Oryzias latipes: one gene and its partner. The protein of the gene in region 2 interacts with the protein of the main gene of each other region in a pairwise test. Links are inferred from orthologs where the notes say so. Each region holds a gene or a part of one and is shown on either strand. Other genes may lie near its edges. The genes, in order: mob3c and zbtb10.

Region 1 (6,521 bases), on a different chromosome or scaffold from region 2:
AGAGCACATAAACAGAGAGCTCTCAGCAATGGGAAGGGGAAGGGGGGCAGGGTAGCTCCCCACCAACAGCCACAAGAGGTCAGAGGTGAATTTATCATGAACTCCTGCTGCTCAACAGAAACTATGTCCAAGAAAACAATGTTTTTATTGGGTCTTGGCTTAAAACAGCATCATCATGAATCAAATACTTTTGGGAAAGCCTTGAAAATGGATCAGAAGATGATCAGAGTGGGAATTTAAGTTAAAATTGGTGCTTCCTGTTCCACTTTTCATCTGCTTTGAGAAGCAAATTACCTTGTTATTAAATACCAAAATTCTTACATTTGTTTTTTTCCGAAGTCTATAATAAAACTGATAATAATAATACTTTTTTTCAAATATTCTTCACTATGTAATGTAAATATTAATGGAAAAAAGTAAAACTGTCACAGTAGAGTACCTTGTACTACCTTTTTGGACAGTAAATTATCCCCTTCACGCTGTGTGTTGCAATATACTGTTTTATCAAAAACTCCTTAAAAACTAATTTAGTATCCCCTCAAGTGTTAAAAAAAAACCCACAAGAATGTATATATATATATTTATAAAATTGGAAATAAATTCAGACATGAAGGGGTTATCATAGCCAGAATATATTAGGTGTACTTGATATGAAGTTGTTAATATTCCTCAAGCATGACCTCTTTGCAGACACATGAAGCATTTCCTCACAGAGAAGACGCTATGAAAGATCTCTGGTTTGTTTGCTACAACATCCTTCTTTATTTGACTCTGTCAGCGGACTCACCAGCGGTTCAAGCTCAGAGTTGTCAATGAGGTTGAACTCTGAGATGAAGAAGTAGTAGTGTTTGTAACAGGTGTTGATGTGGGCCTCCGCACCCATACTGCAGATGCTGTCAAAGTGGTGGATGTAAACGTGCACAAAGACCCTAAAAAGACGGCTCAGGATCTTCTTGCACACCTGCTGGAAGTTCTTGGGGAAAGGTACACCTGAGGTGAGGAAGAAAACACAATCAGCAAGAGATAGAAACTATTTTCTTGTGTAGAATATGTAGTTTAGCAGTGATGTTCAAACATTACAATTTTTTAAAAGTCAAAGTCCTATTAGCTGTCACACACCGGAGTGTGGGAAGTTAGTTTTCTATATTTGACCCCTCCCTGGTGAGAAACAGCGGCACTTGGAAACCATTTGGCATCTTAGCCCCCCAATTTGACTCCATAATGCTGAGTGTCAAGCAGGAAGGCTTTGGTATGAATCAAGTGTGGATTTGAACTCATCACCTTCCACTCTCAGGGCAGACACTCATCCAAGAGGCCGCTGAGTAGAAACGTGAGTCAAAACTTCAAGTGTAAAATACTTTTACATCTCTTACACATAAATGCAAATGTGAAAAGAACTGCTGTATCAGTAAAATGACAAATGTTGCTCACAGAGACAACTCATTTCCGATTTGCTAATTAGTATTTTAGGATCAATTAAGCCTAATTTTACAAAAGTAATTGACCAAAAATGTGTTTTATGCATTCTTAACAACTGTTTGGTGTCTTGTTCTTTCTGAAGGCGATGAAGAATATGGAAAACCCATTTAATGTTGGAGCCAAACATAACCTTTTATTGTATTTTTTCTGTATTTTTAAAGGAAACCAGAGCTCCCTCCACAAACTTTATGCACTGTGTTCACACACCAATTTTTAGGGCTGAGTTTTTCTGTAATAACTCTTTGTTGTCAAACCTGGCATTAGGATAACATAAAGCCAACATTAATTAATCTGCTGTAAATGTCATGTTTGTTGTGTAATTAACCCTTGTTGACCTCAGCATCCGCATCTGAAAGTTTAATGGAGCAGAACTGCCCTGAACTCTGACACCACAAACACATCACTGAGAGCAGCAGGCACACGTTCCTCAAATTACACCCTCCAGACCAGAGCAGACACCTCCAGGCATTGGTTTCTAACACACACCTACTCTGGTGGGAAAGATGTCTTCATCGTTGATGAGCGACTCGATCCAGTCCATCAGCAGGTTCATGTACTTCAGGGCGGGCAACTTGGTGGGTTTTTTGTAGTCGTCGCCGTCCCGCCATCTGTACTCGTACTTCAGCCCCCCAGACATGATGGGACATGTGCGCTCCGTGCAGTACTCGCTCATGGTGCCGTAGATCAGGTTTATCCTGTTGAAGAAATCCACAACGTGAACTGCGATCCAGTCGTTGAGGCTCTCCCCCTCTGGCAGCTGAACCACTTTCCGCAGGTCCAAGCCTGACTTGAGCGAAGCCTGGGCCTTCTTGTAGAGTTCAAAACGCTGAGTGCCGGGTTCGAACCGTTTCTTCGGCCTAAAGGTTTTGTCTTTGCTGAACACTTGTCCGAGACAGAGCGCCATTGACTTTCCTCTCCAGAATAACACTTGGGTCTGACTGAAATTCCAATCTTCCTGAGAGGGGACAGGACGGCTGAAACGGGTCAGGAGGGGTCCGTGTCTTTCATGAAGAGATTGCAGGGACTTGATGTTTGGGAGGATATTTCTGTGAAACACAGCAGAGACATTAGAGGTGGTCCAAAAATGTCGGAGTTCATTCTGTCACGGTTGCAAAAGACACGCTGCAAACCGACTGTTTACAAGAGCACTGAATCACAGGTTTCCTGAACCCTACGTTAGTGCCTGAAGCTGTGCAGTACTGAAGTCTGAAGGAGGAAAACAAAACGGCCGATCAAAACTCTGCTGATTTAAAGGATGGATGGGATCCAATCACAGGAGTTTCGGAGCCAGCCATCTAAACAAATAATAAAAAGGACAGAGATGCGGCTCATTAGAGCCCAGCTTAACCGGGACTTGTGAACGCCAGACTGAGACTCAACAAAGATTTATCAGTTTAAAGAGCACACAGAGAAATTTCCCCAGAGAAATGATCTCATCACTCACAGGCAGAAAACCTCTTCAATTGGAAAAACTCACAGCCGATTCCTCATTTTGAAGTTTTTCCAACAGCTTTGAATTACATGTTAGGTGAAGTCGTATTTTAAAAGGTTCTAACTGTTGAAACAATGAAACGTTACAAGCTGTTTGTGTGGAGAACGTGTTGGTGTTTGATTCCCGGTGTCCTGCAGGAATCCACACCGAGGACACAGATGTGACAGCCAGTCACTCTGGCTGCAACCTGATACTATATCCGCATTTGTGTCCCGTTTTAAGTCGCACCATTTCCTGCGGTTGCTTTCTCTAAGCAACTTGAAGAAGCAGAAGGTTCTGCCTCTTCGTGACCGACTCGGACTGACGTTTTGAAGAGAACCGTTGTACAAAAAAAAATCCCTCTCCACATGCATGAACCGCATCGCTTCTCTCTTGCCTCGGTTCTGTCTGTCAAGATAACAGTAAAAACGTCAGAAAGCAGAGAAGCTGCTTCGTCCCTCACCCGCTTTCTTGGTGCGTCTGGTTTCACTTCATGGCTGACCACTGGGGGACGTAAATAACATCAGAGAAGCATGGGAGTGGGGCTGAACGGAATCTAAAGTTTTGGTTTACAATTCAAGATGACCTTTGACATCATTGGTCTCTTGAACTACAATGGCTTCAAATGTCATAGCATGAGGAACAAAATGACATCAGTTTGGCTCACTTTCTTCACGCCTCACCAGCCTGAAGCGTGTCCTCTCGCGTCTGCATGCACACTTCTCTGGTCTTCACCGACCGAGGAATCGACACGACCTTTTCATTTACGCCGAGAAAGAAAACGTTTTTTTGGAAACCAAAAGAGGAAGGGTAAGTAAGCTTACAGAATGGAAAATCTGTCTCCACTGTACCTGACTGAATTCCCACAGTCGAGTACGGAATGTGGTGGGAATCTGTGGAAAGTTCAGGGAGGATTCAACTCCTTGTGGAGGTCAGTTCCAGCTTTCCTCTATTCTGATCCTAACAGTCTGAGAGGCTCCAACACGGCGAAAAAGAGAAAAAAAAAACTTGTTTTGGCTTCTCTTCCTGTGTTGATGTCACATCCTGACTTTGTCTTCTCCATTGTGGTATCTACTTGTGTGTGTGTGTGTGTGTCAGTGGGAGTGTCCAAGAACCTACGAGTAAAAAAGGGAAAAGAGGGACTGGAAAAACGGCTCACCAAGCCCAGATTGTGTGCCTCCCACTACATTTTTTTCCCCCTGTCATCCCGCTGCAGGGCAGCCGGCCCACTCATCTGATTAGAACCCAGCCCTCTGCTGAAAACAGACCCTCATTCTGATCCAGGACAGAGCCAGTCAGGGGGTCCGCATTTAAGTCTGGATATCAGAACGGCGTTAGAACCCATTGACATTTGAAAGGTCTGAGACCTGCTGCACACCGAAAGGTATTTTACACCTCCACACATGGAAAAAGAACATTTCCATCGACCAGCATTCCACTCATAAACAGACGAGGCGTGTTTGCTGGCAACTATCTACTTCCTCCATCCATTCAGGGGCTTAAAGTTTTAGGCTCATTTGTGTCTTTGTCTCAAAATGAAAGAGTCCCACTGAAGTGTGCAGAGTTTGTTTTCTGCTCTGTGACAAAATGACACAAAAAAGATCCCGCTCGTAGTTTTATTGAGACAAAATACTCAACTTTTTGGGAGATCCCCCCCCCAAAAATATAACCAAATCAGTTAGAATTTAGTTTCAAAATGTAACCATTAAAACATGAGCAAGGATGTTTGTGGTGCAAAGCTTTGGTAGTAACAAATGGGCTTCCTTTACATGGTAAAAAATGGTCAATGCTGTATATTGATATAGCTCACACTGTTGGCTGCGCCGTTGCAGAACACTGGCGACAACATGAAACCACCTAGAAAAACGTGGGGTTCCGTGTCTTGCCCAAGGACACTTCAACACATGGCTGCACAGGGACGGACACAGATCAGAGGGTGACCACTCTACCCCTGCACCACAGCACCCAATCCTTCTTCAAATACACATTTATGTGCCCTTTTATATACATTGAAATGTTTCCAAAGCAGCAACTGGATTGCAGTAGCTCAATAGATCCACTAGAGGTCATCGATATAGCATTATGATTTTTTATAACGTTTCAACTTCAGGAAGTTATGGGGTTGAACTCTATCCTGTTGCATGAGCATTTCAGTTCTTTCATTGAAAATACATTCAGTTTATAATCAAAAATGAATGATTCGGACTTTTTAAAACAACCTCAAACTGTGAAAAATCCTGTCTTCAACTGCAAAGTAACATGTCTCTACACAGATAACAGATGAGTTTGTGTAATATGAGGGGCATAAAACAGCTTTGACTTTACCAAGTCACCATTGAAATGTTGTTTTTTCTTTCAGTTTAGATGAGAAGAACGTGAAACACGATCTAACCCGGAGGATTCCCTGTTGACGATGCCTGAAGATTGGAGCCAAAAGAAGATTTCATTTCAAAATAACAGAACTGATATGAGACAGACCAGAGACCTGTCCAAGGATGTACCCTGCCTTCGCCGACGAGGATAGGCTCCGGCAGCCATGTGACCCCGAAAAGGACAAAACGGGTTCAGAAGATGAAGACTGAAATGAATGAATGATATGAGTAAATAAAATCAAACATCCAAGTTGTGCACTGAGCTTAAAATAAACGTAAACTAAAACGACCGTCACACTACCAATTTTTAATTGTGTTATATATTTTTTAACTGTAATCACTAATAACTAATTCCTGAGTGATGTTTCACAGCAGAACTAAGGAACTTAACCTTTTTCACTCTCAGTATTGAGTCATGAGGAGAAAAAAACAAACAGAAAAATGTAGTCTATACTCCAAGGCATGGATGCAGCAATGCAGCGATGTCTCATGCATAACTTGCGTTTCCTGAGTGACTCAAACATTCCCATTTCATCGTAAAAAAATGTGACAGGAGGAAGTAGACGAGCGAGGGCGTTTGTCGTTCTATACGATGTGACTGTCACTCCACAGTTTACGGCAAGCCCAAACCATGCGGTCTGACAAAACCAACTGGCAGCACAAAAACTCCACATGAACAATTCACTCAACTTTTATAGCTTCAAAGGTTGGGAGAGTTAAACTGCAAACGAGCTGCAAAAATTGTTTGTTTTCTTTTATCTGTAAAATTCAAGGCTTCATCCACATCCAGCACATTTCTGGTGTGGTTTCTGTCCCTCTTAGTTAAAGTCAGTGAGGAGTTTGAGAGGAAACGTCCCTGTCAGTGTTTTAATGACATGACCTGGTGGATGATTCATAATCACACAAACAGAGCGAGCGTCTTATCACGGTGGACGTTTGATGGAAACACAACGACCTTCGCATTTTTTTTTACTCTAAACCCATCTTTAGGACATCAGTCAACTCCAAGGATAAATCTTTGTTTTTCTCTGATCCATGTGCATCACGGTTTTACGTGGGCCATCTCCCGATGTTGCTTGACTGACAGAGCAGACGCTTATCTTATCAGATATTGCATTGTACTAAATGAGATCTCCACTTCATAAACGCGTGTCGTTGACCTGTTGTGCACGAGGTGGAAAACATTCTCATGGCAGCAA
Region 2 (5,936 bases):
TAGCAAAAACAAAAACATTAATAAAAAAAAAGCTGAGCATTTGGAAGTTTTTTTTCTTGATAGTTCCATTCAAACCCGCTTATGGGGGGGAAAACACAAAACATAAAAAGAACTTTTCTTTTTTCATGAACGCAAAAGTAAGTGCATGTCTATGAGGCGCCATAGAGCTTCACCGTTTGTGGAACAAAGTGTTTTCTTTTCGACCTGGCAGACCTGTTTGGAAAAAAGCAAAAACAGTTCTTTCAATGGTTTACAAATGGAAAATGGAGTTTTGTCTGTTTGTCAGACTTAAAAATGTCACACATGATTTTTGCACATTAGCGCCCCCCCACCCTACCTCACAACCAACGTTCAAGTGATTCAAAATATATTTATATATATATATACTGTTTTGCCTTTAAACCTCAGTACCAAATATAAACAAACGCATACAGATGTTGGTGTCAACATAGGTCCCCGAAAACTGCTGATAGTTCTACAAAAATGGTATGTTTTAGTAAGTGTGCATTAAATAAAAACAATGGCAAAGCATACCTGATAGTCGCCGAAGCACAACAGTGTTCTATAGATTAAGCTGATTACATATGCATAACTGAGTCAGTTTAAGCTTTATGATTATAAACATCATATATAGCCTGTAGGTCCAGTATTATGCAACAAGCATTACAGCACCAAACGTTTCATCATTTGGCAAAATTCAAGCTTTAAGTGAAAGTCAAATGCTCTTGTATTACAATAAAGTGTTACTGTGACGCTGTGATTTGTATAAAGCTAGCAATAACATTTCCCCTCTCTTTTTTCTTATTTTTTTTCTTAAATCAACCTTTTATCCCCGCAGAACCAACCCCAGCATCCCCGCTCGTCTCGTTTAGGCGTTACTCAGTAGTTTTGCGTTTCCTGCTCAATCTTGGTGTGCGGTCTGTTTGGTTTTCATATCACAGCCCTCTTAAATTACTCATAAATACGGCTGTCATACATTAGAGTCACAAAACAGATTATTTGGTTCCAAGATTTGTGCATGGAAATAAAATTCAAAAAGAAAAACAGAATATATTTAGTAGGTCTAAACAGGATCTACAGAGACAAAAAAAACCTGCTCTTCTGTGTATTTCTACAAGCACTACGCAACACATCTCAGACAGAAAGCAACAGCGTTTACTACGCCTCCGCTCGCAGACGAAAACACAAACACAAATTATAGCATTTGATAAGACCATAATAACCTCTCTTCATAAATTAAATAATTAACATTTGTTTTTCAATGATTGGCCTACCTCAACTCAAATATTACATCACCCTGCCCGACTCATGCCCTTAAAAAAAAAACAGAAAACAAACCCCAAACCTGATTCATTGCGTTTGTCACTTGATTCATTCGCTTGTGGGCTCTGGACTCAGAGTTGGACATGTTTTAAGAATAAAACCTGTACATCTTACGACGCTTTAAAACAAAAACAAAAATTCGGTCATTTACTCGCATTATTAAGTAACCTTGAGGTTTGATAGCACTTTGGAGTTGATTGTTTACCAGCCAGTTTGTGTGTGTGTGTGTGTGTGTGTGTGTGTGTACATATATATTAAACATCAACTTTTTATTTGTTTCTCAAGCTTGTAATAACTCTTCAGTCCTCCTCTGGGGCTGCAACAGCAGTGCCCTCGCCGCAGTTTGATTGGTCGTTGTCTGTGGGCTCCTCGCCCTCCATGTCCTCCCCTTCCTCGCCGTCGAAGTCTTCATCGCGGGGAAACTCCATGCCCTCCAAGCCCTCCTGAGTGGCCTGGTGCGAGTCGGCGCAGTCCGCACACACGCCGTAGCGCCGCGAGCCGTGGCGGATGCCGACGCTGGCGGCTAGCATGAAGATCTTCTTGCAGACCATGCACTTGTATTTCTTGTCTTTCTTGTGAACCTGAAAGGAGGAGGAGGAGGAGGAGGAGGATGGTGGTTGAAGTCATCATTTTCAAACATGAAATCATCACTCCTGAGAGCAGAGCAGGTATTTAAGCATCAGAAAAAAGCTCCATTCCAGACATTACGGTCCTGTTTCGTTGTTTGGGGTCGTTTAGGGAGAAAAAAAGTCACAGCGTGAATGAGAAGGACTGATGTGTCACACGCCAAGCTCAGAAAATGACGCCGTTATCTTCCACTGAACCTCAGAAAGCAGCTCTTAACCTCCTTAGCACATATGTTTGGAGAACTATAGAATCAGCCCAAATAGTATCTAAATGTTTTCACGACTCAAAATCAGAAAAAAAATCGGTTTAAACGTTTTAATATTGAATGGAATAAAGCATTTTCACCTCATTAGTGTCCCAAAAAATCTGAAGACAAAAGAGTTAAAGATCCACTCTGATGGAAATTGTGTTTATGGTGTTTCTAACATGTTCTCGTAGCATTTTTCTCATGATAGAGGACATGTATAACACAGATCTTCATCAAAATTCCCTCTCTGAGTATTTCTTTATTCAAATCGTTGTGCATCAGGACCAGACGAAAATATGGGGTTTTAAAAAAAAAAAAAACTAGAAAAGTAGATCCATGTCCATCTCCGTTCTCCTCATGTGAGCTGTTATCTGGTTTAACAACAGAAATGCTTTTACTGTAAACATACGGAGAAACAATCAAAGACCCAACAGCTCAGCAGTAAAAACAAACCCCAGGAAGTATTTACTTCATCTGCTTCTGGTTCCTATGCAGGCCGTTCAGACCAAGTAGTAAAACCTGGACTGGATTCAACTGAACTACAATATAAGAGCCTCGACTCCAATGAGCTCATTTGGAACAGAACAGCCTCTTTCCGGTCTCTCAACATGTTTTTTCTTTGTGTTTTTGATTAATTTTCTAGAATTTCGGACACCTTTAATAACATAATTAGGCATTTGTAAGAATCTCATATTGTGAGTCAAAAAAAAATGAAAGGCATCGTTCCAATTTTTGCATTTTTATATTGTGCATCATGTCCAGCACATTAAAAACTCTGCAGACAAAAATGCCCACTTGTCCGTTTATTCTGTCCGGGAAAGCTGAACCACTGCAGACTGTGGCAGATATGGGGGGGGGGGTAAAAAAAAGAGCAGAACATTTTTAAAAAGTCATATGTCGACTTACCAAGGAATGTCTCTTTACGTGCTCGCGGCGAGTGAACAGCTTCCCACAGATGTCACAGCTGAAGGAACGCACTCCTGAGTGGATGATCAGGTGTCTCTTGAGTGTGCGACGGTGCTTGGCAATGTAGTTACAGTGGGGGCACTTTAGCTTATTGAGGGTTAAATGTGACGACTCACCTGGGAAAAGACACAAAGGATCAAATTTCTCTAATAATTTCTGTTTCTAAGACTAAAAAAAAAAAAAAAAAAGATGGATCGGAAAGACACTTTAAAGACGCAGCCACTGTACTGCTGTGTCTGCTAAGCTAACAGAACCGTTTTACAGACCAGCAAAATAAGCTGAATAACGGTGATTTAAAATAAGTATATTAACATGAGATGTCCCTTTTCCATGAGACGGCTAGGCTCGCAAATAGCTGCATTGATTTTCAAACATGTTCCTGCCCGACTGCCAATCTTCTTCCACACAAAGCAAGCAGGAGGACAGAGCCCATCCCTTTGTTTAAGCCCGGGAGAACAACAAATGCGTCGTCAAGGTGGGTTGTTATGTGGGGGAAAGGGACGGCTGATAAGAAGCAGGTCACCTGCATGTTCACTTGTGTGACTATGTGAAACACAGCCCAGAAGGGGGGGAGGGGGGGGCAACAGTAAAGAATTGGCAGTTTTTTTATGATCACTGAAGAACAAGCGGGGGGGGAGAAAAAAAATGAACTAAAGTAAACGAGTTCAGATCTGGTTTTTATTTAAAAAAAAAAAAAGTGAGGATGTTTGAGAGTTTGTGGAAACAGCAGTGAATAGGACTTCAAGCCTTCCTGAACTCTGTTGCTGCCATTTTTAGCCTCAGCTCCACCCTTTCAACTAATTTCAGATTCCCTGCATCGGCTTAGAACATGAAAACACCAGACGCAGAAATACTGGTTCATGTCGTTTGGATCACTCAATAATAAAAAGGGTGAACATCCAGACACATAGTATATACATTTAAGCAGAATGCTCTGTAAATTACTTCAGCTGATCAATCCTAAAAAGATGGGCACACATAAATCTGCATCAGGATTTTTAGTCCATCTTATTTGATACAATATATTGTTTGAATGTGAAGATTTTAAAGCCTGGATTAAAACGAAGTCCGGACTTTGTTTTCTATGCAAAATAGCTGAGCTCCATTTCTGCTGTTTGTTTGTTCCCTTTGCCATTTCCTGACTAAATGACTGGGTGCACAGCTTTAACGCCGCCATGCCCTCCAACAACATTTAAAGCATGTTTAGACTGTGGGGAAGTCAAGTCATGAAGCCTTTTACAAATTTCATTCTGGTAAAGTCCTAATTGCAGCAGGTCAAAGTCTTGTGTTTTATAATAAAAAGGGTTTCGGTGTTCTTTATACTCAAAATTCCAGGATCTGTGAGCCACGCCCCCCCCCCGTATAAAGAAAATGAAAATTACATTTCTGAGTATTTCTTTGTACAAATCGTTATGAATCAGGATCAGATAAATAAAATGTTTGAAAAAGAGTGCATGTGTGACGTAGAAAACAGGTAAGGGGGCGGCACACGCTCCCTGCTCAGGGGTCTCAGCAATGGGGAGGGGAAGGGGGGACGGGGTTGCTCCACACCAACAGTCCCATACACAACTCTAGAGAAGAATTTCTAACAAACTACAGTTGCTCTGCAGAATCTATATTGTAGAAACCGACACAGGTTTTTGATTTTGCCTAGAAGGCATAATCCTAATTAAAAGACAACTGGGAATACTTTCAAAATAGATCAAAAGATCATTATGGTGGGTCGTTTAAGATAGTTTGATAAATTAAGTGTCTATACACAGACAACAACTACAAGAAAACATGACTCAACACTAAACTACACTGTACTGTAGTCATCTGTACGCTAGAGTGGCTTCTTACCATTCTCCCAGGATTCCCCTTGCTGTAAGTCTTGGAGGATGCTATACTGGATCTTATTGGCCAGCTCTGGGAAATGGGGGAGGGGGAAGGGGGGTGGGGAGAAAGAGAGATGACAGGTGGTTGAGAGCCTGGGGGAGCACACCTTACAATATCTTTTGTACACAAACGAACCACCCCCACAGGAAAACAATGGGCTCTTCCATGCGCGGTGCAGGCAAACACACACAGACAGTGACCTTAATGCAAAGCAGCGTCCTCCACAAACCATAGCAACAAGCTAACTAGCTTTACAGCAGGGAGAAGGTTAATGAGAGGGAGATGGGCCAAGCCCTCACAACAGCTCATCTTACACTCAACTTTAGTGAGCACCTGTGTGTGTTTGAATATGCTCTTCCTAAAGCACCGGGGCTTACAGCCCATTAAAGACACACCCCTGTACTGTGTTGTGAGCGTGCATGTGTGTGTGTGTGTGTGTGTGTGTGTTTGTTCTCCCTGGGTCAATATTTGGAATAGTGAGAACAGCACCAGTGCTTTAGAGTGGATTAAGTACGATAAGGACTGCCCCTAGCGGCTTTGCCAATCCCAAGGACTGGACATTTGTGCAAAGGCGTGTTTGCGTTTACTCTAGTCTAGAGAATAGGACGCGTGAAAACGCGTTATAGCCGTATTAATGCAGTCATGTCTGGAGAGGGTCTGGGAATGTGATTGGAGTTCAGCTCAGGAAAAGCAGGAGGTAATGACAGAAACAAGATCTTCAAGGTGTTTTCACTTTCATTCACTTTAGTTTCTTTCATTAAAATGACAAGAAAACCAAAATCTTTTTGCGAGTAAGAAAAAAATTATTTTGTCTAGTAAATACTCAAAATGTAATCAATGTATACATTTAGATTTAATGCACATTGTCAGGCAGGACTTAAAGCTCAGAGAAGAG

The links.
Region 1: the proteins of zbtb10 (region 2) and mob3c interact in binary tests that used the Homo sapiens proteins (3 or more experiments, as listed by UniProt). The link is inferred for Oryzias latipes from reciprocal best matches to the Homo sapiens genes ZBTB10 and MOB3C.

The regions. Positions count from the first base shown.
Region 1 is NC_019862.2:29,243,078-29,249,598, reverse strand, and holds the start of mob3c (MOB kinase activator 3C), read right to left. Parts: upstream 4,041-6,521; 5' UTR 3,802-4,040; exon of another isoform or gene 3,775-3,801; intron 3,761-3,774; exon of another isoform or gene 3,707-3,760; 5' UTR 3,618-3,706; exon of another isoform or gene 3,200-3,617; intron 3,031-3,199; exon of another isoform or gene 2,924-3,030; intron 2,526-2,923; 5' UTR 2,384-2,525; coding exon 1,966-2,383; intron 991-1,965; coding exon 788-990; intron 1-787. UniProt on the Homo sapiens protein: May regulate the activity of kinases.
Region 2 is NC_019869.2:23,370,158-23,376,093, forward strand, and holds part of zbtb10 (zinc finger and BTB domain-containing protein 10), read right to left. Parts: intron 5,072-5,936; coding exon 5,006-5,071; intron 3,280-5,005; coding exon 3,104-3,279; intron 1,905-3,103; coding exon 1,623-1,904; 3' UTR 1-1,622. UniProt on the Homo sapiens protein: May be involved in transcriptional regulation.